Linked DNA regions of Macaca mulatta. The protein of the gene in region 7 purifies or fractionates together with the protein of the main gene of each other region. This does not show direct contact. Links are inferred from orthologs where the notes say so. Each region holds a gene or a part of one and is shown on either strand. Other genes may lie near its edges.

Evidence for each region.
Region 1: the proteins of STK25 (region 7) and CTTNBP2 purify together in Homo sapiens (affinity purification with mass spectrometry; 3 studies listed by BioGRID and IntAct, with this or other methods). This does not show direct contact. The link is inferred for Macaca mulatta from reciprocal best matches to the Homo sapiens genes STK25 and CTTNBP2.
Region 2: the proteins of STK25 (region 7) and PROSER2 purify together in Homo sapiens (affinity purification with mass spectrometry; 3 studies listed by BioGRID and IntAct, counting the BioPlex papers as one, with this or other methods). This does not show direct contact. The link is inferred for Macaca mulatta from reciprocal best matches to the Homo sapiens genes STK25 and PROSER2.
Region 3: the proteins of STK25 (region 7) and SIKE1 purify together in Homo sapiens (affinity purification with mass spectrometry; 4 studies listed by BioGRID and IntAct, with this or other methods). This does not show direct contact. The link is inferred for Macaca mulatta from reciprocal best matches to the Homo sapiens genes STK25 and SIKE1.
Region 4: the proteins of STK25 (region 7) and SLMAP purify together in Homo sapiens (affinity purification with mass spectrometry; 5 studies listed by BioGRID and IntAct, with this or other methods). This does not show direct contact. The link is inferred for Macaca mulatta from reciprocal best matches to the Homo sapiens genes STK25 and SLMAP.
Region 5: the proteins of STK25 (region 7) and FGFR1OP2 purify together in Homo sapiens (affinity purification with mass spectrometry; 5 studies listed by BioGRID and IntAct, with this or other methods). This does not show direct contact. The link is inferred for Macaca mulatta from reciprocal best matches to the Homo sapiens genes STK25 and FGFR1OP2.
Region 6: the proteins of STK25 (region 7) and CTTNBP2NL purify together in Homo sapiens (affinity purification with mass spectrometry; 6 studies listed by BioGRID and IntAct, counting the BioPlex papers as one, with this or other methods). This does not show direct contact. The link is inferred for Macaca mulatta from reciprocal best matches to the Homo sapiens genes STK25 and CTTNBP2NL.

What each region holds. Positions count from the first base shown.
Region 1 is NC_133408.1:157,262,831-157,266,814, reverse strand, and holds part of CTTNBP2 (cortactin-binding protein 2), read left to right. Parts: intron 1-885; coding exon 886-1,064; intron 1,065-2,505; coding exon of another isoform or gene 2,506-2,536; exon of another isoform or gene 2,537-2,566; intron 2,567-3,819; coding exon 3,820-3,984. UniProt on the Homo sapiens protein: Regulates the dendritic spine distribution of CTTN/cortactin in hippocampal neurons, and thus controls dendritic spinogenesis and dendritic spine maintenance.
Region 2 is NC_133414.1:13,358,815-13,363,228, reverse strand, and holds the start of PROSER2 (proline and serine-rich protein 2), read right to left. Parts: upstream 3,131-4,414; 5' UTR 2,916-3,130; intron 1-2,915.
Region 3 is NC_133406.1:125,473,149-125,477,584, reverse strand, and holds the start of SIKE1 (suppressor of IKBKE 1), read right to left. Parts: upstream 3,175-4,436; 5' UTR 3,114-3,174; coding exon 2,955-3,113; coding exon of another isoform or gene 2,943-2,954; intron 2,722-2,942; coding exon 2,616-2,721; intron 1,792-2,615; coding exon 1,649-1,791; intron 1-1,648.
Region 4 is NC_133407.1:121,295,811-121,300,533, reverse strand, and holds the start of SLMAP (sarcolemmal membrane-associated protein), read right to left. Parts: upstream 3,026-4,723; 5' UTR 2,819-3,025; coding exon 2,621-2,818; intron 1-2,620. UniProt on the Homo sapiens protein: Associates with the striatin-interacting phosphatase and kinase (STRIPAK) core complex, forming the extended (SIKE1:SLMAP)STRIPAK complex.
Region 5 is NC_133416.1:29,318,375-29,322,358, reverse strand, and holds part of FGFR1OP2 (FGFR1 oncogene partner 2), read right to left. Parts: intron 2,962-3,984; coding exon 2,844-2,961; intron 1,576-2,843; coding exon 1,433-1,575; intron 1-1,432. UniProt on the Homo sapiens protein: May be involved in wound healing pathway.
Region 6 is NC_133406.1:127,871,424-127,876,168, forward strand, and holds the start of CTTNBP2NL (CTTNBP2 N-terminal-like protein), read right to left. Parts: upstream 3,023-4,745; 5' UTR 2,978-3,022; exon of another isoform or gene 2,665-2,977; intron 1-2,664. UniProt on the Homo sapiens protein: Regulates lamellipodial actin dynamics in a CTTN-dependent manner. Associates with core striatin-interacting phosphatase and kinase (STRIPAK) complex to form CTTNBP2NL-STRIPAK complexes.
Region 7 is NC_133417.1:146,793,573-146,797,556, forward strand, and holds part of STK25 (serine/threonine-protein kinase 25), read right to left. Parts: intron 2,540-3,984; exon of another isoform or gene 1,585-2,539; coding exon 1,354-1,584; intron 674-1,353; coding exon 617-673; intron 173-616; coding exon 64-172; intron 1-63. UniProt on the Homo sapiens protein: Oxidant stress-activated serine/threonine kinase that may play a role in the response to environmental stress.

The DNA.
Region 1 (3,984 bases), on a different chromosome or scaffold from region 7:
GTTTATTAGTCATTAAGAGAAGAATTCAGCCTTCCCAGAAAAAGGAACGTTTCCCTGGGGACCGAGTTCCAATGCGAGCTCTGCCTTCCTGCCTTCCTCTACATGCGGTCTTGATGAGGCAGCTGGGGGGGCCCCTCTCCCTCTGTCAGCTGCCCACAAAGCTAGCCTGTTCTTTCAGCCCTGGCTGACCATAGAAAGTGAAGCTTGAACAGAGAGCTTCAGAAATGTTAAGCCTGAGGAAGAAGAGGAAGTTCTTTAGCTTAATAGTGATTACTGAATTTATTTTAAACGTGATAAATGACTCCTTTATTATTTCAGCGAGATGCCGTATCCTATTTTTCTATTAAAGATAAACCCTATGTAGTTAACGTATACTGGCAGATTGCTGAGAGTAGATCTTAAATGCTCTCACCATAAAAAATAAGTATGTGAAGAAATGGACATGTTAATCAGCTTAATTGAATAATTTCACAATGTATACATACATCAAGACATCATAATATACACTATATATATATATAATTTTGTCAATTATACCTTAATAAAAAATATAAATAGACTCTAGCTCTGGCTTTGTCACTATTACCTGTAGGACCTTGGGCAAGTTATTTTTTCTTCCTGCCTTAGGCTCCTGATATGTAAAATGGGGTAAAAATGCCTAACTCAAGCTCATGGTGAGAATTAAAGGAGAAAAATGCTTATCACACTAACATGTTTGCACAACTATAGTGTGTTATTATCCCTCATTCAGCCATCCCAAGTAAAGTTACATAAAATTCAACTCGTTTTCAGTTTTGATTTAAAGCTTCATATTTTTAATTTTGGGCTTTTAAAAACAAAATGTTCTAAACCAAGCCCCTGGGTTCTACCTCCCTGTCTCTCTAGTTCAAAGGTCAGGCGCCCTCACCCTGCGATCCTGTGTGCAAGATTGTCGACTGGGCTCTGTCCGTCTGGCGTCAGCTTAACTCCTGCCTGGCCCGCTTGGGCACACCTGAAGCACTTCTTGGACCAGAATATTTCCTGTCTTGTCCTGTAGTTCCTGGACATGCCCAAGTGACAGTGAAGTAAGTGCCATTTTTCGTTAGTTTTCTGCTTATAATGGAGACATGGCCAATTCAGATGTTTGAGGGTGAGGATGCTGACCAGGCTGCCTTGCGCCACCTCCTGTCACTGATACAGAGTGCCAGTGCTCTCTGCTCTTCCAGAGGATGGCCACAGCTTGTCTACTGGGTGCTTCCCCTAGGGCAGCTGCATTTTTGCCGAGAGCTAGGTTTTTCCTCTATTAGAAAACTCTCATCCAAATTATGCTTGGCTTGCTATGCAGAGTCTCCTAAGTGAGGTCCCACATAAGAAGTTTCATCAAGTATTGTATGCACACCCTCCAAAAAACCTGCATTCTGTTAATGAATTGAAAAGCTTCTCCCTTTATTGAGACCTATGTTCAGTACTTACTGCGTTTTCCTTTGAAGCAGCTTATGAGAACAGACATATATACAATAAGGTTAATGAAACAGAAAATCAGGAGAAAATTGAAAGGAGAAAAAATCTGTTACCATCCAGTTTAGTCATGGTTCTGTGACCAGCAAGCAGATTTGATTCTGTAGTTTCTGGTGTCATAGGCAGAAGCCTGTCTTGGAAAGCAGGAGATTGAAATAATATCTTCTCAGCTGGGTGTAGTGGTTCATGCCTGTAATCCCATTGCTTTGGGAAGTTGAGAGGGGAGGATCACTTGAAAAATAATTAGCCAGGCATAGTGGCATGCACCTGCAGTCCTAGCTACTTGAGTTGGGAGGCTGAGGTAGGAGGATCAATTGAGCCCAGGAGGTCAAGACTGCAGTGAGCTTTGATTAAGCCCCCGAACTCCAGCCTGGGTGACAGAGCAAGACCCTGCCTCTAAAAAGTACATGTATATTTTCTCTGTTGTAAGACAAACCGCCATTTTTATAACAGCTAATTGGTGGGAAAGAAGTACTATATTAAATGTATATTTAGATTTTTGCTACAAAATAAATACACTTATTGATATAATTACCACTTTCTTCATTATTATGTCAATGAAATTAGTCTTTTTTACATCCAGAGTCTCAAGATTCTTAGGAACCAATTTTGACCTCTCCTATATGGAGTATAGTCTTTGTCAAGAACTGTGGAGGTTCCAAGATTTTTACCCTAGTTGCAAGCTACCATATTAGCCTGCCATGGTTGAGGATCTGAGTGAGGGCGCAGGACTTCATCATCCACAACACAGCAGGCAGCCTGAGCTTCACTTTTACATAGGTTCCCGTTACCCCTGAAGTCCCATGGGGTGATACATAGAAGCCCATGTGGATGCTGGATTTGCCTCACAGCTGTGGAACTCCCTACTTCCCATCCCTCCAAGGCTTCTAAAGAAGGATGCTGCAACTCTGTCGACCCTTAGCCCTGGAAGATGTTATTTTTATTATCCTGGTCAGGAAACAATTCTGCCCTCTGCTCCTGAAGGAGACCTTTATCTCTGTCTTCCAGGACTGAAAAGATAGTTCCGAACAAAAACTAACACCAGATGTGCAGAAATGCCGCAGATAATTGTCTACCAATGGCTAAGGAGTTGATTTTTTTTTTTCAAACCACAGCTTATCATATTTATGCTATAGCACTTTTAGGAATAACTGCATAATTTTGATTCATGCTGTAAAATACCAGAATTTTGTCTGTGTTCCCTATCGCACTTTTATTTTTCCCCGATTGCATAGCACTAGACATTAAGAGAGAAACTTGATGGATCGTAGTTTTTGACAATTCTTGAAAGATTCATGCAATGTCTAATAGCTTTGGAAACATTCCTGACCCGGGAGATGTGGTTTTGTTTCTATAGCCTTTAATCATATAAGTGTTTTTTAAATACTGTAACGAAGCATAATCTAGTTTTAATTTTGAGTGCTGCAAATTTGGGCTGAAGTCCCACTGTTTATGGCTATTAATGCAGACAGTCCACGTGAGGCGATAGCTGGTTGACCCCCATTCTCCCGATAGAACTGAGCCCACCCACACGCAACAGTGAGCCCTTGCCTTGGGACAGGCAGATTTAATTTACCAGTGATTATACAATAAATGTCAGGCTGGGCGCAGTGGTTCACACCTGCAATCCCAGCACTTTGGAAGGCCAAGGCAGGAAGATCACTTGAGGTCAGGAGTTTGAGACCAGTCTAGCCAACATGGTGAAACCCCATATCTACTAAAAGTACAAAACTTAGCCAGGCATGGTGGCACTTGCGGGTAATCCCAGCTACTTGGAAGGCAGAGGCATGGGAATTGCTTGAACCCAAGAGGCAGAGGTTGCAGTGAGCTGAGATTGTGCCTCAGCACTCCAGTCTGGGTGACAGAGCGAGACTGTCTCAAAAAAAAAAAAGATCCCAATTTCAGAAATATTAAAATACAATATACGTGTACTTTATTAAGGAGATATAACAAAGAAGTTGAAGCTATTTAGACATGGACTTTTAGGAAATCTTTTCCAGATTTCTTCAGTCTTTATATTTACCTTCCTTTCCATGTATTTATTCATGTATTCATTCACTCAGCACTCAAGCATTGATTCTACATTGAGAGAGACATGTAAACAACCAGTTTCATTTGAAATACATTGTATTTTTGAGAAAGATTCAAACTACTTTTGTATTGGGTAATTTCACTTATTTGAAAACTACCTGGGAAAGGTAGCATATCTATAGAAACACTTAACGTTTTTTCCCCATAGTCTTCAAACTGTCCTTTCGTAGAATTGTGTGTAATTATTGAGAAGCCTGCTCCTAAGGGATGAATCGGCCCCTCTCCTGCTAGGTGGATGTCTAAGCTGTGGAACGGCGTCATCGCGCCCAGAGTTCAAGAAGCAATATTGTCAAGAGCCTCTGTGAAAAGACAACCTGGCTTTGGACAGACAACTGCTAAAAGACACCCTAGCCAAGGACAGCAGGCTGTGGTCAAAGCTGCTCTCAGCATCTTGCT
Region 2 (4,414 bases), on a different chromosome or scaffold from region 7:
CCCAAAAGAACTGACAACAGGTGTTCACACAAAAACTTGTACACAACGGTTCACAGCAGTACTATTCACAATAGCCAAAAGGTGGAAACAACGCAAAGTCATTCATCTGATGAATGGGCGAATAGAATGCGATCTGTCCACACAATGGAACATTATTCAGCCATCAAAAGGAGGGAAGCAACGATGCACGCTGCGACATGGACGGACCTTGAAAACATTGTGCTAAGTCAAAGACACCAGACACAAGAGGCCACAGATTCTAAGATTCCACGTGTATAAACATCCAGAAGGGGCAAGTCTACCAAGACAGAAGGAGATCAGTGGTTGCCAGGGGTTGGGAGAGGGGAACGGGAATCGTCTGCTTAATGGGTTTCCTTTTGGAGTGATGAAAAAGTTCTGGAACTCGACAGTGGTGATGATTGCCTAACATTGGGAATGGAATGTACTTAATGCCACTGATTTGTGCCCTTTAAAGTGGTAAATTTTATGTTCTATGTATTTGACTATAATAAAAAAGATAAACAGCATCAAGTCTTCACGGTGCTAGAGTCTCTGGCAGTACCCAGTCTGAAGACACGTTCACGAAGAGCTCTCCCATCCCTGTCCGGCAAGGCAGAATGCTCTCCCCATATGATCCTTTCCTGCCCATCCTGAATGCACAGATTACAAACCCAGCACCAACTTTCTTAAAATACTCTTAGTTTTCAAGATGAATGCTGCCAGTCTAGAAAGGGGACAAGGGCATTATGGACAGGGGCAGCTTCCCTGTGGGTTCCGCAGACAGAGGCTGTTGTTGCCACTGGCTGGACATAACCCGTGCAGAGGGCAGCGCCTCCGTGAACACAGGCTTTCCTATGGTGGCCAGGAGACCCCTCAGAGTGGAGCGGGGATGGCTGCAGTCTATCAGGGGCAGAGTTACCAGGCCCTCTTCTCAGAGCACACAGGCAGCTAGGAAGCCACCAAGTGCAAAGAAAGGTGACACGCGGCGATGGCCTTCACCGTCAAAGGAAAGAGCTCGGGTTCTGGGATGCTCCTAGGATTCCCCTGGCACCTCCCGAATGGCCTCTGTGCCACTGGCAGCTGTCCCACAACACTGCAGATAAGATGCACTTGAACTTCTAGTTCTAGAGGCTCCCCTGTTCTCAGCTCTGCTCTACCCAGGCCCTTCCTCTCTCCCCCTTCAGGTTTCCAGGCTCCACTCCTGGAGTTATCTGAGATGATCTTCCAAATCAACACACAGTGCCAACTCTGGGCGCCTCGGGTGTCTGAGAACTTTGGAACCAAGGCCAGGTATCTCTTCAGCTGCTGATGAAGGCTTGCTTCATCTGGTTTTAATCAGTTTGGGCCATGTGGCTGTTATCTAGAAAAGACTGTATGCTGGATGTCCAGTCACGGCTCTGCGCGCTGTAGGTGGTCAGTCTACAAATATTCCTGAATGAATTAACGAGCAAATCCCACCCCCCCGCGACCCCTCCGTAACCAGAGATTCAAACACGCTCAAACTTTCCTAAAAGCATCGCTCCTCTTCCCAGCTTTCGCTCCACTATCACTCTAATTTTGGATTTCTGATTTCTAGTAATGGAGAAAATACGTTACTTTTAAATCGTCAGCATCTAAAATTTTCAAAGAAAGCTCATCTGAAGTGCTGTTACCAAGGGATATAATCCAATCGCATTAAAATGGCTATTACTAGTCTGGACAAGAAAACACACAAGATTCCATACATACGCTGTCAACTTTGGCAAGAAAGATTTTAGACAACTTCCATCCTTCCCACCCAATCCCAAGTCAATAGGGCATTTGTTTGTATTTCCACATTGGCTTCACGAACGAAAATACCTCCTCCACCTAGAAAAACAACCAGTAAAATTCAGACACAGAACTTGGAGGGCAAACGTTTTAGTGCATGCTGGGACACTTTTATGTAGTGTTTTTAAAAAATAACGTAGAAAAGTATTTTTAATAAAGTTTTCTCCTATGAGCATTTCCCTCAAGTTTCCACGTATGCCTGGTTTGGTCTTTCGATACCTTTCAGAAATACAGATTTTTAAAAAATGATCTCCGTTAAAATTGGAGCCAGAAAGAACCTTCTTCCTACAGATCTGAACGTTTTACTCTGTTTAGGGTGGAAAAAGACACACACAGTCATTTTCCTTCACTCACTTTTAACTTCTCTGCTCTGCACGCACGAGGTTCTGGTAAAGAGTTAAAAGTTTTCTGAGGTTAGTTCCTGCGGTTAAGGGAAAAAAAAAAATACACCAAACAACTAGATGCTTAAATTTAGACTCCGTAAAACAATACTGGGAAACTTTCAAAGCCTTGGAGAAATACTGGAGTTTATTTTATTGCCTTTTGTTCAATTTCATCACACGGGTCACATTTTCTCCTCTATTTTAGTCCCTCCCGCCGGCTGGGTTGGGCAGACCCTGCACATTCCCGCGTGATTCCAGGACCTGGGGGCCCGGGTGGAACAGGTGGCTCCGCCCGCCGTGTCGGACCCGCACCCTCTCCGCGAGGCCGCATGGGGGTCCCACAGCGCAAGGGAGAGCGGTCCCGGGCTGGGGGACAGGCGTCGGGGACAGCGGGGACGCTCTGCGCCCAAGGCTGGGAAACCCGCCTCCACCCCTGCGCCCCCAGGACAGCCCCAGACTCGGAACCCAGCGCGCTCCCCGCCGCGCCCCGACTCAGAGGTCCCCGAGGAGGCAGCGACGCCCCGGGGTCAGGGTTCGGGTACCGGGTGGCCTCTGCGGCAGCGCCGGGCTCCCCCAGTCGGAGCGAGAAGCGCGCAAGGCAGGGTCCGGCGCCCCCTCTCTGCCCGACCCGCCGGCGTCCCAGCCAGACCCCAGTGCCGCCACCGCCGCCAGGACGCCCTCCCGCCGCTCCAGCCGTGCCCGGAGTCCTAGGGCCGCACTCACCTCGCGGGAGAGCCCTACTCCGGGACTCAGGTGTCCACGCCGCCAGCGACCCTGAGCCCTGACGCCGGAGCCCTCACGCCGCCGCCCGTCCGGCGCAGATTGTCCCAGGCCGCCCCGCCGCGCGCTCTCCCCCGTGCGCGCCCACCCGTGCGCGCTCCACCGCCCACCGCGCGCTCGCGCCGCCGGGACTCGCGATCCTCAGGCACGCACTGCGCGCGCCCGCGGCGCTTAAAGGGCCAGGCCCCGCCGCGCTGCAGGACCCCGCGGCCGCCTCCCGGGTGCCCTCGGTCAAGGTGTGAAGTTCGAGTTGGGGGACATCACCGTGAAAATCCCCAACCCCATCGCCGAGCGACCCACGCAGAGAAAAGCAGTGGGGATGTGTGTCTGAAACTTGCAAGAGATGGGACATTAATTTAATCTAATTTTTCTTGAGACAGGGTCTTGCTGTGTTGCCCAGGCTGGAGTGCACGTTGTGTGATCTTGGCTCACTGCAACCTCCACCTCCCAAGCTCAAGTGATCCTCACAGCTCAGCCTCCCAAGTAGCTGGTACCACAGGTGCACGCCACCACACCCAGCTAATTTAAAATTTTTTGGAGAGATGGGTGGGGGGTCTCATTATATTGCCCAGGCTGGTCTCGAACTCCTGGGCTCAAGCGATCCTCTCACTTCAGCCTCCCAAAGTGCTGGGATTACAGGCCTGAGCCACTGCACTTGGCCTTTAATTTTTTCTTTTCTTTTTTATTATCATCAGCTTGGAGAGGCTATTTTATACTTAATAATGCTGATGCAATTTATTGCATACCTGTACCCTCAGACACAGCATTTAATGTGCATACACCAAATACATTATTTCATCTAATCCTTAAAATGTTTTTCTGGTTTCTTAACCCCATTTTACAGAGCAGGAAAGCTGAGGTTCAGACAGCTGAAGAAACTCATGGGAGAATTTTTGACCCCATGGCTCATTGCATTTTCTTCTTCAGGCTATCACCGTGGAAATATCTCCCAAGGTTAATAGCTGGTTGCGGAAGGCTTTTGTAAGTTGGTGGAGGTTAATGTTACTGGGTTTAATTCGGTAGGCAGGGAGAAAGCAAGGATTATGGGGTTGTATTAATTGTAGGGTTTGTTGCATACTCAAATGGCAAATGTTATAACAATCTAGATTCCCAAAATGTTTGTGTTTACTCCCATTTTACAGAAAACTAAGAAGGAAGTGGTTGCACAGAATGACTGAGTCACTGGCCCCACTCAGGGTTGAGCCCCAATGCCTTAGTCCTGAGGTCATTTCTTTGCCCTCCCCAGAAAGAGATACCTGATTAAAGGGAAGAAAACTTTTCCTCTAATAACACATTGGCCTCACCTAACTCCCTGCATCTTTAATTAATGTTTACAAAGCACTTTAATCTACCCAACATGCTACTTAATTGGGTCAGTATTATTATCCTCTCTTTCTGAACAAAATCTAGGAGATAATCAACTCTGACAGTCCTTAATCCTC
Region 3 (4,436 bases), on a different chromosome or scaffold from region 7:
TAAATACTGGGCTCTTCGATATGGATTTGTGTTACAGTCATGTTATCTTCTCACACCTTCCAAGATTTCAAAGGATCTGATGGCTGTAATTGCAGAGAATAAATGAGTAATCTTTAGTCTATTTCAGAAATAGAAGGCCAGATGATTCCCTTTCCATAAAGGATTAAGTTTTCATCCAATGCCAACTCTGATAAGGCCTTAGTCATTTCTGTGGGTGAAATCTGATCTGATGCAAGCAATGTTATTTTCATTTCTGAAAATTATCTATGTCCAGTGCATCAATCACCCAATAGGTCCACCCTCCAATAAAAATATTTGAAACGGAAAAAAAAATCAGTTGTAGTTTAACTACCCATTGGATGTTGGATACTACCTCTAAGTGGCTGTTTAACTTAAATTTGAATACTTTCACTGGCAGGAAGCTTACTACATTCCAAGGTGCCTTATTCTATCTTTGGACATATCACTTAGAAAGTTTATCTATCTGAGTAAACTGTCTCTTTCAAAGTTCAGGTTTTTTCCTCCATATGAGAATAAATAAAATCTATTTTTCTCTTCCAGTTGAAAGCCATTCAAATATTTAAAATATCTGTTTCCTAAAACTTTTAAGTCAGTAAAATGCATTCAATGTAATTTAAGATGAAGCTTATATTTCACTACATCTCACAGAAGTAGTAGGCTCCAACTTATACATCTAGAATTAAATGACACAGTACACACGAATGTACAATGACAACCATGAAGCACCTACAAACATAAGAACAATTACCGAGTCTCCCAAATTAGATAATAAGCAATCAAAGCATAGAAACTATGCCATGTTTGTTTTTTTTAAAAACCATACTTCTATCCCCTAATAACATAGTATGATGCTATGTGGTTCAGTTTATAAAAGGTTTATTGACTGCTTGCTATATGTCAGGTACTATGTTAGGAATAAAATGTGAATTCAAGTGCCTCACAACCAAGGAGCTTAAGTGAAATGTATAATAACCAACCAAGTATTTACTGGGCACCTTCAACACTAACTGACATTACGTTTGGTGTGAGGGCTAAGAATTAATGAACATTTTCAAAAGAGATCTTGGTGAGGGAGGGGGAACGTTAGTCCCATTCAAATAAAAGGACCTGAGCAACCACTATCCTTCTTTCTATTCATATCTTTACAAAGCCATGGCAAAATAAACAACAAATATGATAAACATGAAAGGAAAACAAGCTTACTTTTCTTCAAAAACAAGCACACATGGCCAGTCACAGTGGCTCATGCCTATAATCCCAGCACTTTGGAAGGCTAACGTGGGTTGATCGCTTGAGCCCAGGAGTTTCAGACCAGCCTGGGCAACATGGCGAAACCTCATCTCTACAAAAAAAAAAAAAAATAATAATAATAATAATAAAAAACCCCACAAAAATTAACAGGGCATGGTGGTGTGCACCTGTAGTCCCAGCTGCTCAGGAGGCAGAGGTGAGAGGATGGCTTGACCCCAGAAGGCAGAGGTTGCAGTGAGCTGAGATCGTGCCATTACACCACAGCCTGGTCGACAGAGCCAGACCCTGTCTCAAAAAGCAAAAAAACAAGCACACAATCTAAAACAATCTCAAGATTTCAATTTGGTTCATTTCAAATTTATTCGAAGTTTCTTACTGCAGAGTGAGACTGGTGAGCTTTCAGGACTGGTTCGGCATCCACAGCTTTTTTAGCAACCATTAACTGTAACATCTGTTTCCGGTACTTGCTCATGATGAGCTCCAAAGCATCCTGGTGTTCCTCCAAGGAAATCCACAGCTCTGTCAAAAAATAAAATAACTTGGCAGTGATGTCTGAGAGACAGTTCCCAAATCCAAAGTCTTAACAGTTAGAATTTTGCAATACTATAGAGATAATATGAATCCAAGGTTGTAAATCAATGTTTCAGTCTACAAAACTGAGCAGTTAAAGTCTATGTTAAAGGTAACTTTCTAGGCAGAGAAGCAAAATCTTGCAGTAACAACAACGGATATGTCATCAGAAGACATGGATTTGAGTTCAGTTCTGTAACTTGCTTGGTTAATACTCATAAGTAAATCATTTAGCTTCTCTGAGCCTATTTCTTAACAGCATTGTGATAGATAAAAATGAAGATATGAGAATACAGTAGAATGATATATGTGAAACCCCTCTGGTAAACAACTATTAATACTACAGTCATTAATAATGTACTAATCAAGCCTAAGAATATATACCCTTAGAGTAAAATTCTGCTGCTTCACCTTGCACAAACAAGAACATAAACAAAACCTTAAATCTTACCTTCAGTGTTTATATTAATATTTAAACATTAAATTTTAAGTCCATGAGGATATGAACTCTTTTGTTACACATCTGGAGATGCTTAAAAATAAACCATGCAATAATTCTAACTCTACATAGCCCCTCTTTGGTAAGCTGCTACAAAATCAGTCAGATGACCTTGAAATGGGTAATCTAACAAACTTTACTGTTACTGAGCCAGCACAGGAGGACTCTCCTACGAAAAGTACTGACCTGGAAATAGATGCACACCCTTGTGAATGTTTAGGGCAATTTTGCAGTAACTTTAAACTATTACCAGATATGAAAAGGCCTGACTAACCTCTGTTTTCCTGTTGCAAGTCTCTAATCTGTGTGTTCTCTTGAGACAGCAGAATGTGAGGTTTGTATTTGGACATGTCCTTCATATCGGATGCATCCTCTTGATACTGGACAAATAGAGACAGTCTAAGCATGCCTTAAAGAGAACAGCGGCAGATGCAACTCAAGTGGCAGAAGTCAGGGCTCTAGGGCAGGATTCTCAGCTCCGACCCAGGAAAAAGGTCTCACCGCCGCCCTCTGAGACCGGGAATAAATTTCAGGCCGAGTTCCCACTTTACCTCGCTCTCCACCCTTCAGTGCCCAGAATCCGAGAGCACTGGACTCCTACCCTCTGCCTGACCTGGTCCGGAAGCGCTGTCCCCGCCTCCCGCATAGCGGCTACCCGCCGGTGCAGCGCTGCCGACTGATCCACCAGCGACTCGGCAGCCGCATCGTGCTCCCGCAGCCTCTCCAGAAGCGTCTTGGCGTCTGTCAGGATCTTCTCGATGGTGCAGCTCATAGCAGCAGCACAACCCCAGCCCCTGCCGGGCTCAGCTACGCGACTCGCTCAGATCTTCTGGGAGTCTGTCTCAGCATTACTGGCGTCACTTCCGGGCACGTTTAAAAGGTGTCTTGGCAGACGCAAGAGGCGCCTGCGCAGTGGCACCCTATTTTGCGGGTTCACCCGCTTTTACCTGTGGCTTCCTTGCAGTCCTGCCTGACGCGGAGCCCCAGACCTGCCCTTACCACGCTCTTGGTTTCCAGTTGCCACAGCCTGGTGGTCAGGCCATGATGAGCTGGGCAGAAGGAAGGTCTCCTTTCCCCACTGGTTTTCATTGATGTGGATTGTTATTCAGTCACAGTTATTTTCTTTTTATTTTCATTTAATTTTTATTTATTTTTTTTCGTTTTTGAGACGGTATCTTGGTATCTTGCTCTTGTCGCCCAGACTGCAGTGCAGTGGCGCGATCTTGGCTCACTGCAACCTATGGCTCCCGGGTTCAAGCGATTCTCCTGCCTCAGCCTCCCGAGTAGCTGGGATTACAGGCATGCACCACCATGCCGGCTAATTTTTCTATTTTTAGTAGAAACGGGGTTTCACATGTTGGCCAGGCTGGTTTTGAACTCCTGACCTCAAGTGATCTGCCTGCCTCGGCCTCCCAAAGTGTTGGTGTGAACCACTGCGCCTGGCCTACTTTCATTTAAGTTTTAAAAAATTGTGGCAAAATGCACATAAAATTTAATATCTCAGCCATTTTTAAGTGTACAGTTCAGTAGTATATTCATATGGTTATACAGCCACCATCAGCATCCATTTCTAGAACTCCTTCGTCTTGCAGTACTGAAGTTCTGCACTCTTTAAACAATAACTCCTCATTCTTCCTTATCCCCAGCCCCTGGCAACCACCATTCTACTTTGTCTCTACAAATCTGACTATTCTGGGTACCTGACGTGAGTGAAATCATACAGCATTTATATTCATATAACTGCCTTGTTTCACTTAGCGTAATGTCCACGAGTTTCATCCACACAGTAGCATATGTTAGAATGTTCTTCCTTTTTAAGGCTGAATAATATGTATATGCCACGTTTTGTTTATCCATTCATCCGCTGGACAGTTGGGTTGCTTCCGCCTTTTGCTATTGTAAATAATGCTGCTATTACAACTGGCTCACGTCTGGCTGTTTGTTGCCTAGAGGCCAAAATCATGAGAAGTGACTGATGATGAAAGGAAAGCAGTTTTACTAATCAAACGCTCGCAGATGGGGAATGGCTACACTCATGCCTTCAAAACAGCATTCCGCTTTTTTTTTTTTTTTTTTTTGTCAACGTATCCCAGAG
Region 4 (4,723 bases), on a different chromosome or scaffold from region 7:
ATGCTCAAATAAAACCTACTATCTGTCCAAACCAAAACTTTAAATAGTTAATTCCTAAAGCAATTCAATGACATGGTAAGATCTGACAGAGTATCTGCTGTAACTAGATTAAGTGGTATAATAATCAATAATTACATCTATATCTAAAGTAGTGGTCTCATAGCCTGCGTGTTATTTTAGCTAATAAAGCAGAAGAGGGAAAAAAGTGAAAATGGTAGAAATAAGCCATATCTACCCTTCAAAGATAAGTTTTTCTGAAGAACAAATTTCATGGCCAGGCACGTTGGCCGCACTTTGGGAGGCCGAGGAGGGTGGATCACTTGAGGTCAGGCATTCAAGACCACCCTGGCCAACGTGGTGAAACCCAGTATCTACTAAGAATACAAAAATTAGCCGGGCATGATGGTACGTGCCTGTAATTCCAGCTACCCAGGAGGCTAAGACACGAGAATTGCTTGAACCCAGGAGGCAGAGGTTGCAGTGAACTGAGGTTGCGCCACTGCACTCTAGCCTGAGTAACAGAGTAGGACTTCATCTCAAAAAAAAAAAAAGAACAAATATTAACATGTCATCTCAATTCATGAAACAGTCACTATTGATCTATTCTTAGTTATCTCAAAATAACCTATTGTGAGAGTTTTATTACGGCCATGGAAAGCACTGTGCATGAAATCAGTATTTTTCAAATAAGTAAAACAAAAAATGAGAGTTCCCTTTGAGTGTTTAATCAAAGTGCGTTTGCAGAGTATGTACCGTGAGCAAACCTGTTGTCTAATTAGTTTAGACCTGTTGCCCAAGAACATAAAATGGCAAAAATGTAAAAGCTGGTTGAGTTAAGGCACTACTTAGTAGTAAACTGATATTTAAATTGAACTGCTGGAAAAATGAGCTCTATGAATATTCATTTTAAAGAATTATGAGGGCCAGGTGCGGTGGCTCACGCCTGTAATCCCAGCACTTTGGGAGGCTGAGGCAGGCGAATCAACTGAGGTCAGGAGTTCGAGACCGCCTGGCCAACACGGTGAAACCCTGTCTCTATTAAAAATACAAAAGTAGCCGGGCGTGGTGGCATGTACCTGTAATCCCAGTTACTTGGGAGGCTGAGGCAGGAGAATCACTTGAACCTGGGAGGCAGAGGTTGCAGTGAGCTGAGATAGCACCACTGCACTCCAGCCTGGGTGACAAGAGCAAAAATCTGTCTCAAAAAAAATTAGGCACCCTACGTTCAGCTTGGGGGTAGGGAGGAAGGGTCTGCTCCACAGGTAAATGACGATCTGGTGTTATACAGAAAAGTTAACATATTCTTCAGTTCTCATCCTACACTCCTACACGTAGAATAAAGTATAGATATTATGCAGCACACAGCACTTGGACAATCTTTTCCTCCTTTCTTCAAAAAATAATTTACAAAATAATTCCTTAAATCAGTAGCTGCCGAAGTATCATTTTTTTCTCTTCCTTTTAAGGCTCAGGTTTCTTTCATTTCAAAACATATTCTTGAAGACTTAAGTTCTTCCTTTAAGAAAGATTTAATTATTTAACTCAGAAAGAAGGGGCAAAAAGTCAGGAGGTGAAACCTGAGACAGTCCTATTAGTCTTACATAACTTAAAGTTGGAACTGATTCAGTAGCTCAGCTAAAAACCTGAGGTTTAGGCACAAAGATGAGCTCTTTAGTATACTATCCATAAACATAAATAAACAGTTTTTAAAAATGGAAAGGATCTTAATTTCTTTCATTTCTTAAAAGCACATACGTGTATAGTAACTTACGATACTAACATAAAAATACTAAATTGATTACGCTTAAAATGAAAAGCACTGAATTCATCCCATCACATTTAAGTAATGCTATAATTGACAGAATAGGGTATAATTTCAGAAAATAAGTTTATTTCCTAACACTAACTTTTGAATAGCACCTCTGTAAGAATGCACTAAGTACTTAATAAGTGCTGCAGGGAACATCAAAAAGTGATTTTCAAACGCAGTATGTGTATGTTCTCCAACTTGTAAAAAACACTCTGAAAATATATAAAGTTACAATTGTTCATGCTTAATTAAATTAGCTTTGATTATTGCAAATTATTCCTTCAAGAGCAAGTATGTATCAAACCTTTCAAAAATCTTAGGTTTATACCAGCAATTGTCCTTACTAGAAAGGTCCTGATCTGAACTCACCTAAAGCTATGTGTTAACTACATTTCACTACTAAGACACTTGAGCCCTGGGATAATAATGGCCACAGATTCCCCGAATTGCTCTGACAACTCCTGCTTGCTTAATAAAGCGCTGAACTGTGAATTCACCTTTCCAAGCAGACTGAAAGCAAGACGCCAAGTTTCACTATCTAGTTTGGTATTTCACTGGGAATGACCCCGTTATCAAGATGCCATAGACTTCCTGAGGCTTTTAATTACAATACCTTCTCTGTTTTCCATTCAACCACCTCAATCAAATTTCCACTAGAACCAGGCACCCAAACAGTTGTTTCGTGGCTTTGCGCAAAGCCTCTTCTGGATGCAAACCCTGGGATCCTGCATACATTAGGCCTCTCAGAAAGGGCAAAGCGGGGGAAACAAGTTTGTTAAACAATGCCGCTGGACAACGTGGTGACATTACCTTGCCCGTCTTGTGATCAAACCAGACGAGAGCGTGGTTCCTTGACAGCACTTTGCAATCAAAAGTGGCATTATTCTGCGCTGGTCGACAGCGGGCCACTGAGCGGCCGATTTTGATGGGCTCGTCCAGGTAGACATGACGCTCCTGAAACGGGTGCGAGTTCGGGCGGCAAGTGAAGATGGCCAAGGCTGACGGCATCGAGGATAGACTGGGGGTGTCTCTCCTACCAGGAACAAAGAGGAGTTCCTCTGGATCCGGACTGCCCTTCACAAGCCTATCCCCCTATCCCACCCAAAATTTTAAATTAACACAAACTGCACATTGTCTAAGCATAACCAGTGAACATCAACTCTTCACTTGGGTGGGAAGACAAGCCAGCGCAAGCCCCATCACCTCCTCTAAAACCCAGCAGCGCCCTGATCACAAAAAGTCCCCAACTGGCAGCTTTCAGTCCATCTTCTTCTCTGGGAAGAAAAGGCTCAAACATCGGGCAGCTTCCGCCAAGAAAACTCCTGGAACACAGTTTGGGGACTGGAGGTATCCAAGCAGATGAGTCACACGCCAATTCTTGTGTTTGGTTTGAGATCGCGGCCGCTTTTCCCCCTCGGTGGCGGAAACGTTGCAGCACTGCAGCATGAAGGAAGGGTCGGTTCGGCGCGGCCAGGAAAGTCCTTTTGGGCCGAAGGAAGGTGTGGCCGGGCACCTCTGGGCAGTCACCGCCCGTCCTTGCCCGCAGTGTAGAGGCTCTAGACGGCCGGCGGGACAGTCTGCATCGCCCCTGCTGCGCGGAGGCCGCCCCGGGAAGGGGGACGCGGTCCCCGGCCTGGCACGATCCGAGGCGGCGGTGGCTGAGGTCCTCCGCGCGAGGCGTGGAGGCCGGCAGGGCGCGGGCAGTAGCCGAGTCGGGACTCCCGGGCACCTGGTGAGCGTCCCCGCGACCAGGGCGGGGACCCGGCTCCGCAGGCCGGTGCTGACCGAGCGAGGCGCGACACCGGGAGGCGCGGGTTCCCAGGCGGCAGGAAGTTGGTCCCCGGACGCCTGGGCTCCTGTCCGCCGCTCAGCACATGGGCCGCCTCCCCTCAGGGTCGCCCCCGCGAGGGTCGCATCTCAGGGACGGCAGCCGCAGCTCCCGGCGGACGAGAAGGTGGGGGAGGGAGACTGGCCCGGAGGTTGGGGAGAGGCCTGGAGGCCCCGGGCTGGGTCCGCCGCAGCCTCCACCGATCGCGGCCGATGGGGCAAGCTCAAGCTGCGCCCGACGAGGCAGGAAACTTTCCGACCTGGTGGGGAAAATATCAAAACAAACGGCCGTCAGGCGCCTCAGCCCGCCAGCCTCAGCCCTCGGCTCCTCCAGCCAGACCCCCGCCAGCCCCCACCGCTAGGCACTACCTCCGCCGACCTCTCCGCAAGGAGGCTGCGAAGATTTGGAGCCAGGACGCCACGACGGGTGCTACCTCCTTAGCCGCCACCGCCGCCTCAGCTTACCTTGCCAGCGCCGGCCGCCATAGTGACTCTGACTGAAACCTACCCGGTGCACCGCCACGGGAACGCGCACCCTTCAAGGGCCCTCCTACCCCCTCTCCCGCGCCGTAGTCCAGGAATGTCACGTGAACGAAGCCACGGAAGCCGTGTTGGTAGAGGGCAGAAAAAAGGGCAAGCTAATTTTTAACAGGCCTCCAGGCGCCATCTTAGTTAAGGGCTGGAAGCTTCAAACCTCGGGACAACCTTAACGACCATTTTGGTTAAGGGAAAGAACAATTTGCGCGGTAGAAGGTTTTCTAAACAAACAGTACCACTTTCTTATTTTATCTACTTAGCAAGGAGGTGCCAACTTTTACTAAATTTTATTCTCTTTAATTCTCAATGAAAATACTAGCGAGCAAAAGAATAGACCCAGCCAAAGGGGATGGTCATCAGCAGCCATCTTAGCTGTGGGCAACACAGTCACCCGCAGCTGTCTTAAGTGTGAGCAGTCAAATTCCCTCAAGTCTTAGGATTTGTGCACCTAACAGAAGGACCATCCTCCCCTCTGCTAAACTCGTTGTGTTTTCTTCCCGGAAAAACAAAAAAATCTTAGTTCCCGCATTCCGTTTCGAATGACAGTCC
Region 5 (3,984 bases), on a different chromosome or scaffold from region 7:
ATTTTTAATTTATTATTTTACTGGTTGACATAAGAGGTACCTATCATTAGGTTTTCTAATATATAAAGGCATATAAAGAGCTATTTGATAGGTATTTAATTCTAATAGAATTAATTACTAATAAGTGAAAAACACCTACAAGCACCAAAATGGAAGAAGTAGTTTAAAGAATCTAAAATGTGTTTCAATAATAGAGAAATATAAAAAGACGTCCTTTCCTATTTCTGCTGTAACAAATGGGGAAAAGAAGGCTCATAATCACTATTTCTTAAATAATATTGATAATAATAGTCAGATCATCATTATCTAATACAGATAACAGCTTAAGTTTCCATAATCTAGTTTAATATTTTTATTTCATATCAGCAACTAAAACTCAGTTTAAAATAAATATAAGTGAGAAAGGATTATTCTACTTGTCTTCATAGCAGTTGCCATAAAATATGGAGCCATACCAAAGGGAATAAACACAGGGATGACAAAGGGATGAAAAGCAGGTAAAACACTAATTTCTAACTACTTCAGCTTTGTTTCTAAAAAATGATGTCAATTGGTATATAATACTGGGGCAAGGGAGCAAAATTTTAATATGTTGGTTCTTCTCCTCAACCCCATGTTTTTTCCATTATAATAAACAAGATGATTTATAGTCTGGATGAATTAGCCTTATTCAGAAAATAGTCCTAAGAAAAACAAATCTACATTAAACTGCTTTCAGGTTTTACAAAAAAGTTTTCAGTATTTTTTGTTTATGCAAGAGAAGTCAATACACAAATTTATTAACAAAAAAAATTATTAAAAAATTATGTTTTTTAAGAGACAGGGTCTCACTCGGTTGTCTAGATGGGAGTTGGCATGACCATAGCTCACTGTAACCTCAAACTCCTGAGCTGAAGCGGTCTATCCACCTCAGCCTCCTGAGAAGCTAGGACTGCAGGCATGTGCTACCACACCCAGCTAGTATTTTTACTTTTTGAAGAGATGGAGTCGCACTATGTTGCCCAGGCTGGTCTTGAACTTCTGGCCTCAAGCGATCCTCCTACCTTGGCCTCCCAAAGTGCTGGGATTATAGGCGCGAGCCACCATGCCCAGCCTTTTAAGAAATATTTCTTAAAAGCACATAGCCCTACAAAAATAATGTTGAATAGAACAGACTTACCTTTATATCCAAAATAAAACTTATTTTTCAATGTACAAATTAAAGTTTCTAAGAAACAGTGAGAGTTATAAATCAAACAGAAAATGATACATAACAAGCAAGAAATGGAAAAATAAGAAAAAGGAGAAAATGGCAATTAAAAAGATGAAACATTCAACATCATGTTAAAATGCCATTACTAGATACCTGTGATTTTTTACAAAAAAAATCTGAACACAGGATAATCAATCGTCTCTCTTTTCCATTTCAGGTCACATTTATAGAATGGATTACCTTGGAGTGCTGCTCTTTTAACTTCATTATTATACCCGGATCATCTTTTTTGCTAGCCATTAGCAATCTGAACATTTGTTCTCGATACTTGCTCATTATAAGTTCCAAGGCCGACTGATGTTCTTCCAGAGATGTACGCAATTCTATCAAGAATAATATTGTACTTTATTCCAACTTGAGTTAAAAGTACATAAAATTTTCCACTAAGCAACTTATGAATAGGACATTTTAAAAAGAAAACACAATGCACAAAAATCTAGCCATATAACAATAAGAGACACCAAATGAAGTCCCTTATTAGATTTCTGAATGAGCATTTTAACCTTATTTTTTGAGAATCATTTCAACAAAGATGTACTTAAACAGCAATTAAATACCAGCCCAGGCTCTCTCTATATTAATACCAAAGGGCCACAGACCTCAAGAGTCTAGCAGAGAAAACAAGCATGTGGTTGGTGCAGAGTGGAGTGTCAGTCAAATAGATTTAAGAGATATCTGTGGGAAAAAATTGGTGGAAGCTTTGTAAAAGTACAGTGTGAGTTCCCTCAGTTGAAAAGTGAAGGAAAGGACCTTCTAAGCAGGGAGGCATGAAAACAGATGATGTGTTTAGGAAGTGATTTGTGTTGGCAAGAGCAAAGGGTTCACGGTGAAGAAAGCTGTGGGAATAAGATTTAAAAAAAAAAAAAAGGCTGGGAATTGATTTTTAGGGTCCCTGTAAAAGGTAATACATATACAATGAAAGTTCTTAGGCAAAAGAATTACATGATCAGGGCTGGGCACAGTGGCTCACGCCTGTAATCCCAGCACTTTGAGAGGTTGAGGCGGGCAGATAACAAGGTCAGGAGATTGAGACCATCCTGGCTAACACGGTGAAACCCCATCTCTACTAAAAATACAAAAAATTAGCCGGGCGTGGTGGCAGGCGCCTGTTGTACCAGCTACTTGGGAGGCTGAGGCAGGAGAATGGCATGACCCCAGGAGGCGGAGCTTGCAGTGAGCTGAGCTGGCACCACGGCACTCTAGCCTGGGTGAAAGAGCAAGACTCCGTCTCAAAAAAAAAAAAAGAATTACACGATCAGATTGATTTTTGAAATATCAATCTGATGGTCATATTGAAGACAGCTTGGACAGGAAGGGGGAAGAGAGACCGGAATCAGGGAGATAAGTTTGGACATTTCAGGCAAGAGACTGAGCATCTAATCTGGGGGCTAATGCAGTGGGACTGCAGAGAATGAAGCTGAGTTATTTCATAGCTAACAACAGCAGTGCTAACTGGATTATTGAGGATGAGAATCTAAGAGGATGTCAAGCAAGGCAGACGTTCAAATGTGGGACAGGATAAAGAGCAATAAATATGATTCAGGAATACAGACTAGAAACGGGATTAATGTCAAAAAGTAACGTATCTTGCCTTTGTTTTCTTGTTGCAATTCTCTGATTTGTCTGTTTTCTTGCTGGATTCCCATAACTAACGTGGACCGTGGCCGATGTCTTGCGACTTCATTAAGTTCTTGAATTTCTTCCTGATACTAATGGGGAAAAAACATGCAGGATGAAAATATCTGCAAATATATATATCTGATATATAAATACAAATATATCTGAAATATACATATAAACAAATATCTGATAAGAGCTTAGTATCCAGAATGTATAAAGAACTCTTACAACTCAACAATAAAATGAAAATAACCCCATTTTTAAAAGTGGCAAAGGATTTGAATAAACATTTATCTAAAGAAGATATACAAATGGCCAATAAGCACATGACAAGATGTTTAATTAAAATAACTAGTCATTAGGAGAATGCAATTCAATATATCCCACTAGGATGATTATAATGAAAAAGACAATAACAATTGTTGGAGAGGATGTGAAGAAATTGCAACCTTCCATACATTGTTGATGGAATGTAAAATGATGTAGCTCAGAGGTGTCCAATCTTTTGGCTTCCCTGGGCACACTGGAAGAAGAATTGTCAGGCCGCACATAAAATACACTAACACTAACGATAGCTGATGACCTTTTTTTTTAAAAAAAAAATCTCATAATGTTTTAAGAAAGTTTGCAAATTTGTATTGGGCTGCATTCAAAGCCATCCTGGACCATATGCAGCCAGCAAGTCACAAGTCGGACAAGCTTGGTGTAGTTGCTTTGGGAAACAACGTGCCAGATCCTCAAAAAATTTAACAGAGTTATTACGTGACCCATCCATTCTACTTCTACATATATACCCAAGAAAACTGAAAACATATGTCTACACAGAAACGTGTACACAAATATTCATAGTAGCATATATTCTTACCAGCCAAAAAAGTAAAATAATCCAAATGCCTATCAAATGACGAATGGATAAGCACAATGTGCTGTATCCTTACAATGCAATATTATTTGGTAATAAACAGGAATGAAGTACGGATAACATGCTACAACATAGATGAACCTTAAAAACATTATGTTAAGAAGCCAATCACAAAAAGCTGCATATTTTATCATTTCATTCATATAAAATGTCCAGAATAGGCAAATCCATACAGACAGAAATATTAGTG
Region 6 (4,745 bases), on a different chromosome or scaffold from region 7:
TGCCTCAGCCTCCCGAGTAGCTAGGATTGCAGGTACATGTCACCACACCCAGCTAATTTTTTACATTTTTGGTAGAGATGTGGTTTCATCATGTTGGCCAGGCTGGTCTCGAACTCCTGACCTCGTGATCCACCCGCCTCGGCTTCCCAAAGTGCTGGGATTACAGGTGTGAGCCACGGAGCCTGGCCTCAGAAACTATTCTTGAGCAAAAATCAGTAAACAATCAGTCCCTAGTGAGCTCTTCTAAATTCACTTCATTCCTATCGGGTCAGATATTTAAAACAATAAAATCCTGAAATGATTAGCACTCATTATGTTCTTAAGTCTGGTGCAAATTTCATGACAGTAAAAATAGTATTTTCTAACCAGTAGATTTTATATATATATATATATATATATATATATATATATATATATATATATATTTTTTTTTTTTTTTTAACTGTTTTTTTTTTTTAAGAGACAGGGTCTCTTTCTGCTGCCCAGGCTGGAGAGTGCAGTGGCATGATCATAGCTCACTGTAACCTCAAACACCCGGGCTCAAGCAATCCTCCTGCCTCAGCCTCCCAAGTAGCTAGGATTACAGGGATGAGCCACCACATCCTGCCTCACAGATATTTCTTTATAAGAAATTCAAAATTTTAGTCACTTAAGACACTGGAATTTCATAAGACAGCAGATGGGGAAAATCAAGTTAAATGAAGACAACAAGTAGACGGTTTATACTAACAAGTTGTGCCACATCTAATCAGTGCATTGCCTTTCAGTCTACCCTAAGGTGACAGCTTCAAACTAAGTTAAACAAACACTCATTAAGTCATACTATATACCAGGAACTGTGAAAGAGACAAAGACGAAAAACAAAAAATACTACTATCTGCCCTCAAAGAATTTATAATTCAAGGAGAGAGATCAGACATATATCCCCTGCATAGTACGCTTTTCTTCATCTGGCATGACCAAACAGGTGTTGAAAAGGTTAAAGGAAAGATTTTCAAGACCCAAAAGTGTAACAAACAGATCTTGCTTACTGTGCTAAATAATAAAAGAACATTATTTGCTTTTTCCTATTAAAGCTCAGCAATCACCACAACTTTGGTTTGCTTAGTCTCTTACCTTAGTTTATTTTCTGTTCTCTGCTGATGTAATACAACTTATCTTTTTGGGATTTTCTGTTCTACTTTTAGCTTTTTCTGCTGTTATTGCAGGGAGCCCATGTTTTACCCTTCTATTGCAGCACACATTGTGTTTGCTAGAGACACCCTCCAGTTTCTTCTTTGTGCTTTCTTATTGGAGATTTGGAAACGCTCACTAAGAAGATCTGTGAGCACTCTGAAACCTTCAATTCTAACTATTCAAAAATAATTACCCTCAGGAAGTCTAATCAAGAAGGTAAAAGACAACAGTCATTACAATCACCCTCTGTGATTCCAACTCCTTGAACTTCATTGCCATCAGCTTTGGCTATAGTTGACAGCGGGGAGGTGGACTTGAGATTGAAAGCAAAAAAAAAACTATGCTAAAAATATGGTAAATTTTAATATATAAAAGTGCTAGCGATAGATGATTACTGGGGATTCAACGACATTAACTTGAGGTCAAAATCAACACTTTGCACCTGCTGAAATGAAGGCCACTTGACAAAACCTTTAGGAGCACACTAGAGGCACTTTTTGGTAAACATGAATAGCTAGAACACCTTGCCTTTATTTACTTTGATCTCTGAGATTAAAAAATTACTTTTCATCGTCTAAATTTTGATAGATGATCGTAAAACCAATCAAAATATACATGAATGTTTCCTGGGGGCGGGGGAGACACTATAAAAAAGGGGTTAGAGAGTAACCAAAGGACACAGGACTAGATTAATCATAAGCCTAGATGACTGACCCTGAATTTTCTTCAAACACTTCCTGCCTTTTGTTTCAAACTGCAGTATACCTTCAAGGTTAACTGCAGTCTCCCTGAGCAATGGACCAGCCCATCCTAGACTGGGATATACTCATTCCTAATCCACTGCTATTTATTTACTTATGTATACTGTTTCATTTGAAAACATGGTGTTATTCATTGACTGTCAAGCAACATACACTGCATTCCTGCCCACACAAAGCCAACTCTGCAGATATCCAACACACCCACCTCACTGTGAAATATAACATGGCTTTTCATCAAGTTCTCAGAGAAGAAATAGGGTGGAAAAGGAAAAATGAAACGCAATTCAAACCTAAGAAACCCTTAGAGGCTGGGTTCTCCCAGAAGGAACAGAAAGTAGAAGAAAGGTACAAAGGGCGAGGGAGAGGAGGTCCTAGTTCTCCCTCTTTCAGAGTCCAAAGAAGTCCCAAAACAGGAGAGCTCTCGACTCCTCACAAGAGGCCAGAGGATGTGAGGGGCGGCGGGAGGAAGACTGAGCATCAGAGAATGGGGGATGGGAAGAACTTAAGTGGGAGAAGCCGTTTCCTCGGTAAAGCTGGCTGTCTAGGTCGGTCTTTGATTTTTGCTTCGCCCCATCCCTCTTTTTTGGGAAACACTAATTTTATCTTACGGAGGAAAGCAGCTCCAGTCCCACCCTGGAGAGCAGAGACAGGTGTAGGGAGGGATGTCTGGCCTTCCGGGGGTGCAAAACGGGGTTGGGGGCGGCAGCCTAGAGAATCGGTACGGTACCTGTGAGTCCTCTCCTCCAAGGCTGAGGTGCGGGGTGGGAAGAGCCTTTGAATGAGGGGTATCAGAGGGAAGCCCCTTCTGAGGAGCTGGGAATCGACGAGGGACAAAAAGTAGCTGTGAGGACCCTCAAAGGATGAGGAGCCGCCTCCTCGGGGAATACCGGGAGGTGGAGGAGATGGCCCCGCCCCCTCAGGGGATGGGCCCAGAGGCCGTTAGGACAGCGGCGGGAAGCTACCGGTGCCCCTATACTTGCTTTGCTCTTGAGAACCCGGCCTCTCAGCCATCATCAAGCCCCAGGGAGTGTGGTTCCTACCTTTCCACGACGCACCGGGCTCCGCTCCCCTCCGCCTCTACTCCCCATCCACAGCGGCAGAGGCCCCGCCCCCTCAGCCGCCCGGCGGGGGCATTGGCATTCACCAGCGCCAATCGCCTCCTTGCTTCTCCAGCATTGTCCCCAATCCGCGCCGGCTGGAGGCGGAGCTTCTCCAATGTCATTCAGGCTCCTCCCGGGGCCCCAAGATCCCTTTTGTTTGGGAAGAGCAAGGCTGGGATTGAGCTCGCGTCACTTCCGGGAGGAAGCGCCGTCCTCGGTCCCGGGCTTCAGGATGGGCTCGTGCCCCTCCCGGCCCTTGGTCTGCAACTTTCCACCTCTGCGTGGTTTCTGGGCAGGACCGTGGCTAGTGCTTAGTGCTTTTCCCTGACTGTACGGGGAGTTTAGGAAAGGAGGGCTCTGGTGGCCTGATCGATTGGGATTTTTTCCAGAATGTTAATAAATGAAGTGGGCTTTGATGTCTGCATTAGAATGAATTAGTTGTTGAAAACCTGGCTTCCTTGCTCCCCCCTTTTTTTCTTTTTTCTGGACGCGACTGTGGGCGTGGTGCTGCAAGCAAGGGTGCAAAGATGAAACACCTGGAGATCACCCTTCTCTCAACCACAGTTTGTACAGAAGAGAATACTAATTTTGGGGGACATAAATCCAGCCGACCTGCTTTCCAGGCAGAAGTCGAATAATTGCAAATTTGTGTGGCAGGTTTTTCCACACTATGCTTGCCAGCTGAGGCGACTTTTTTCTGTCCTTGGCCTCATTATATTGCGGGGAATGGTGTTTGCCGTGAAGTTAAACAATGGAGAGTACAGAGGATGCAAGGAATGTCTGCCTTGTGAACACAGGAATGCAGATCTTGGTGGCAGCAAGTCTTAGGCAGGACCGAGTAACTCAGAAAGGGGAGTGGATGTATAACTAGTTGTATCCCTACCTGAAGTCAAAGTTTCTGAATTCCATTTCCACAGAATGGCTGTCAGCTCACAGATTGATTCAGCTGGTTACATTTACGATAACCACATTATTTTAAATACAATATAGTAAATATTTGAGACGAATATTTATAATGCACAAATAATGTAGTACACTTAATACATTATCCCTAAACTTAGCAATTATAATTCGCAAGACAGCATTAGGGACCTAGTACTTGCCTAGGCAAACAGTCCTCAAGGCAGATGCCGCCTGCCCCATGCAGTTTACAGTCTGACCGAGGGATGTGATCAGTCTGTGCGATTATAGTCTGAAAGAAGTAAACGAGTATTTATCATGTTATCACTGTGCCATGTACTTTCATTTAAATGGTATTTGATGTCATCTTCAGTACTGTATGAGAAATCTGTCCTACAGTGTAGGATAGACACCATTGTGTCCAATTTACAGATGAGAAGATAGAGATTCAGAGAAGTCAAATAAAGTCATAGAGCTAGTAAATAGTAAATAATTTCCAGTAAGGATGTATGACTCCAAACTTATGCCATATTCTGCTCACTTCACACTGGCTCTCACATGGTGGACTAAAAATGGGTGTGGATGATTGTAAAGCAAACATTAGAGCCAGAAGGAAAGCTCCATGCCTCCCCCTGTTGATTTTAGGCTTGGGAGGGTCATCTCTATACATGAAGGACAGCAAGACTATGTGTGGAGGTGCTCAATAGCAGCATAAGTGAATCTGGTGTAATGATGTAGGATATACCGAACTTCAGAAAGGCATCATGCCTTGTGTTCTGAACACTGACAATCTGAAAGGTAAGATGAA
Region 7 (3,984 bases):
CAGCCTCTCTAAGGTCAGTGGGGCTCAGGACATTACAAGAGCCACATTCACCCCCAGCAGGACCTTTGATGTCTCGGTGGATCTTGCGTTCGGAGTGCAGATAATCCAGGCCCTTCAGAATTTCCCGCAGGATCGTGGCAATGTACGTCTCCTCCAGGGGACCTGGTTTAAGCTGGAGAGGAAGGTGGGACAGCAGGGCCTCAGCTCCTGTCCCAGGCCCAATGCCTGAGTTCTCCTGTCTCTCTGACAGGGGAGGGCTGTCCCTGCAGATAGCTGGGGGCTTCATGTTCCTTTACTTCTCAAACACAACTTTCAGACGGGAGTGGGGTGGTCTAAAGCATATAAACCAGCTTCACTTTACTGTCATGTAACAGAAAAACAGGCTCCCAACCATCTCCCAGCGTGCCTGCCCCCGCCCACTCCCACAGGCCAGGACCCCTTTCAGCACCAACTGGGCAGACGTGCGGATGGCAGTTCATTTTTGCTTTAGACGATTCGTAATTAACACCTAATGTGCCATGACACCAAACGAGAGGTGGCCCCTGGAGCCCATGAGTCTGAGGAGCAGGGGACTCGGACACTGCATGACCCCCCACTGCCATGGCCTATGCCTCACCAAGTCCAGTGCCGAGCCGCCGCCCAGGTACTCCATGATGATCCATAGCTTGGTGCTCTGGGACCGGAGACAAACCCATCAGCATTTGGCAGTGAGAGGAAGGGCATGCTCCAGGGTGGGAGTCAGGCCGGAGTCAGCCAGGGCCCAGGCCCCACCGGTCCCATCCCTGCCAAGAACCCTAAACAGGAAGGGGCTCCCTCGACCTTGCCCATCTCCCCGCCTGCCACACTGCTGCTACAGATGCTCAGAGGACGGACTGAGTACACAGAACAGTGGCTGAGTCTACTTCACCAAGACCCCGTCAAAAGCCAAGCTGCTGAGCCAGTCCTACAGGGCTGGGAAGAGGGCATGGCTGGCAAGCACATGGCCCAACACACCCATCATCTTCCTGGGCAGGATGGCCACAGCGTTCCCTACACCCCAGACCCTGGCACCACCAGAAACCTGCTCCTCACAGGCCCTCACCACTGCCAGCAGGGGCGCCCCAGAGTGCTCCTGGCAGCGCCCTCACTGCATTACCACAGGCAGGCAAGTGGGTCCCAATGGCCACTCAGAGCCGAATGACCCTCGTGGACCCTGCTCGCACCCTGCCTGCCCAGGGCAATTTCCTGGAGGGCATGCACTGAACTGTCAAGGCCGCCTTGCACCCTCTGGCATGTCACTCAGTCCCTCTGACATGGAAGAGAGGGCCGGGCACAGCACCAGCAGGGCCGCCGCCGCCTCCCCCCAACAGGCACCTTTAGGTAGGAGCCAAAGTAGCGGGTGATGTAGGGGCTGTCGCACTGGCTGAGGACGGTGATCTCCTGCTGGATGTCCTCAATCTCATCCTCGGCCTCCTCCAGGTCGATGATCTTGATGGCCACCACCTCCTTGGTGTGGTTATCGATGCCCTTGTAGACCTCCCCAAACGAGCCCTTGCCGATGCGGTCAAGCTTGGTGAAGAGCTCTTCAGGGTCCACTCGAGAGTGCTGAGGGGCCGGTGGGGACAGAGGGCAGACAGTGCCGGTCACGAGAGGCTGGGACAGGCAGAGGCTGCCCTGCTGGGGAGGAAGGGACCTGTAGGGAAGGGGGAGTCCGAGCGAGTGCGCCTCAATTCTTCTCTGGTTTCTTCCTTTACCCCTTTTTGTTTAAAACCTAAACTTGGCTGGGTGCAGTGGCTCACGCCTGTAATCCCAACACTTTGGGAGGCCGAGGCAGGTGGATCACTTGAGGTCAGGAGTTCGAGACTAGCCTGGCCAACATGGTGAAACCCCATCTCTAATAAAAATATGAAAAAATTAGTTGGGCGTGGTGGCTCATGCCTGTAATCCCAGCTACTTGGGAGGCCGAGGCAGGAGAATTGCTTGAACCCAGGAGGCAGAGGTTGCAGTGGAGCCAAGACCGCACCATTGCACTCCAACCTGGGCAAGAAGAATCAAACTCCGTTTCCAAAAAAAAAAAAGCCTAAACCTAAACTCAACTCTCCATGCAAGGGAAAAGTCCCCGGAAAGTATAAAGAGGCCACTGGAAACAGGAACCTTAGGTGATGACAAGGCATGAAGGTTGCCTCATCTAACCTACCATGCAGCCCCATGAGAGATGTTAATAGGTTAATAGCCCCTGGGGGTTAGGGGATTGGGAGCTCTTAATTTGCTATAAATCTGAAACTATTAAAAAATAAACTCAACAGGCCAGGCTTGGTGGTGCACACCTGAGATCCCAGCACTCTGGGAGGCCAAGGCGGATGGATCACCTGAGGTCGGGAGTTCACGACCAGCCTGACCAATATGGTAAAACCCCATCTCTACTAAATACAAAAAAATTAGCCGGGTGTGGTTGCGCATGCCTGTGATCCGAGCTACTTGGGAGTCCAAGACAGGAGAAGCGCTTGAACCAAGGAGGTGGAGGTTGTGGTGAGCCGAGATCAGGCCATCGCACTCCAGCCTGGGCAACAAGAGTGAAACTCTGTCTCAAAAAAAATTTTTAAATTAAAAAAAAAAACAAAAACTCATCAAAAACAAAAAACTCTCGGTATGTGTTAACCAAGCTCTCCTTCACTCCTAAAAGCCACATATTTAGAAAGGGCTTCCCTCACCCCTCCATAAGTCCTCCTGACAAGTACACCAGCGCCGGGTCAGAAACTGATGCTTTCTTGATGCAGAAAGCTGCCTCCCACAGTCCTCAGATTTAAAGCAGCAACGCCTGAAAGTTTCTGAGCCACCGGTGTGGAAGGTGCCTGGTCTGTGACCCAGGCCCAGAGTCCAGGGGAAGCCAGGAGAGGTGTGTCCTCAGGCCTCCATACTTTTTTTTACTTATTTGAGATGGTGTCTCAATCTGTCACCCAGGCTGGAGTGCAGTGGCACCATCTCAGCTCACTGCAACCTCTGCCTCCTGAGTTCAAGCAATTCTTCTGCCTCAGCCTCCCAAGTAGCTGGAATTACAGGCATGCACCACCACCCCCAGCTAATTTTTTGTATTTTTAGTAGAGATAAGGTTTCACCATCTTGGCCAGGCTGGTCTTGAACTCCTGACTTCAGGTGATCTGCCCACCTCAGCCTCCCAAAGTGCTGGGATTATAGGTGTGAGCCACCATGCACGGCCCCTCCCCCCACAACATCAAGGGTCTTGATGCCAATTTAGTGTGGCACAGCATAAAAAGGCAAAACGGGCTGGACGCAGTGGCTCACGCCTGTAATCCCAGCACTCTGGGAGGCCGAGGCGGGCGGATCACAAGGTCAGCAGATCAAGACCACCCTGGCTAACACGGTGAAACCCCATCTCTACTAAAAAAATACAAAAAATTAGCCAGGTGTGGTGGCGGGCGCCCGTAGTCCCAGCTACTTGGGAGGCTGAGGCAGGAGAATGGCGTGAACCCGGGAGGTGAAGATCGTGCCACTATACTCCAGCCTGGGTGACAGAGCAAGACTCCGTCTCAAAAAAAAAAAAGGCAAAACGACTAATTATGCCCCCAAAACACTGAGGCCCAACTCATTCTGGTGCTGAAGACAGGACGGGTCCTTGGATGGGGGTGCCCTCCACGTTCCTGGGCCTGGGGAGACTGTGCCCTCCAAGGATGGGGTACACCACATACAGCCCCCACGCTCACCCCCTGGACACGTGTGCAGGGTCTATCCCAGGCCTAAGCCCAGCAGAGGAGTTGGTTGAAGCCAACTGGACATTGCACCAGCCCAAGGCGACATTTCCTTGTGAAACTGCCAATTAGCTGACCTCCCAGGGTTTGCAACCAGGAGGGTGGAAGGGGCGGCACACAGGCCCTCACCTTGAAACATGCTGCTACACATCCCTTTCTGAGCCCCAGACCCTGAGGTGACAGGAACTCTGGGGAAGGAAAGGCAGTTAGGGGAGGGCCAGAGGCCACCTAACCCTTC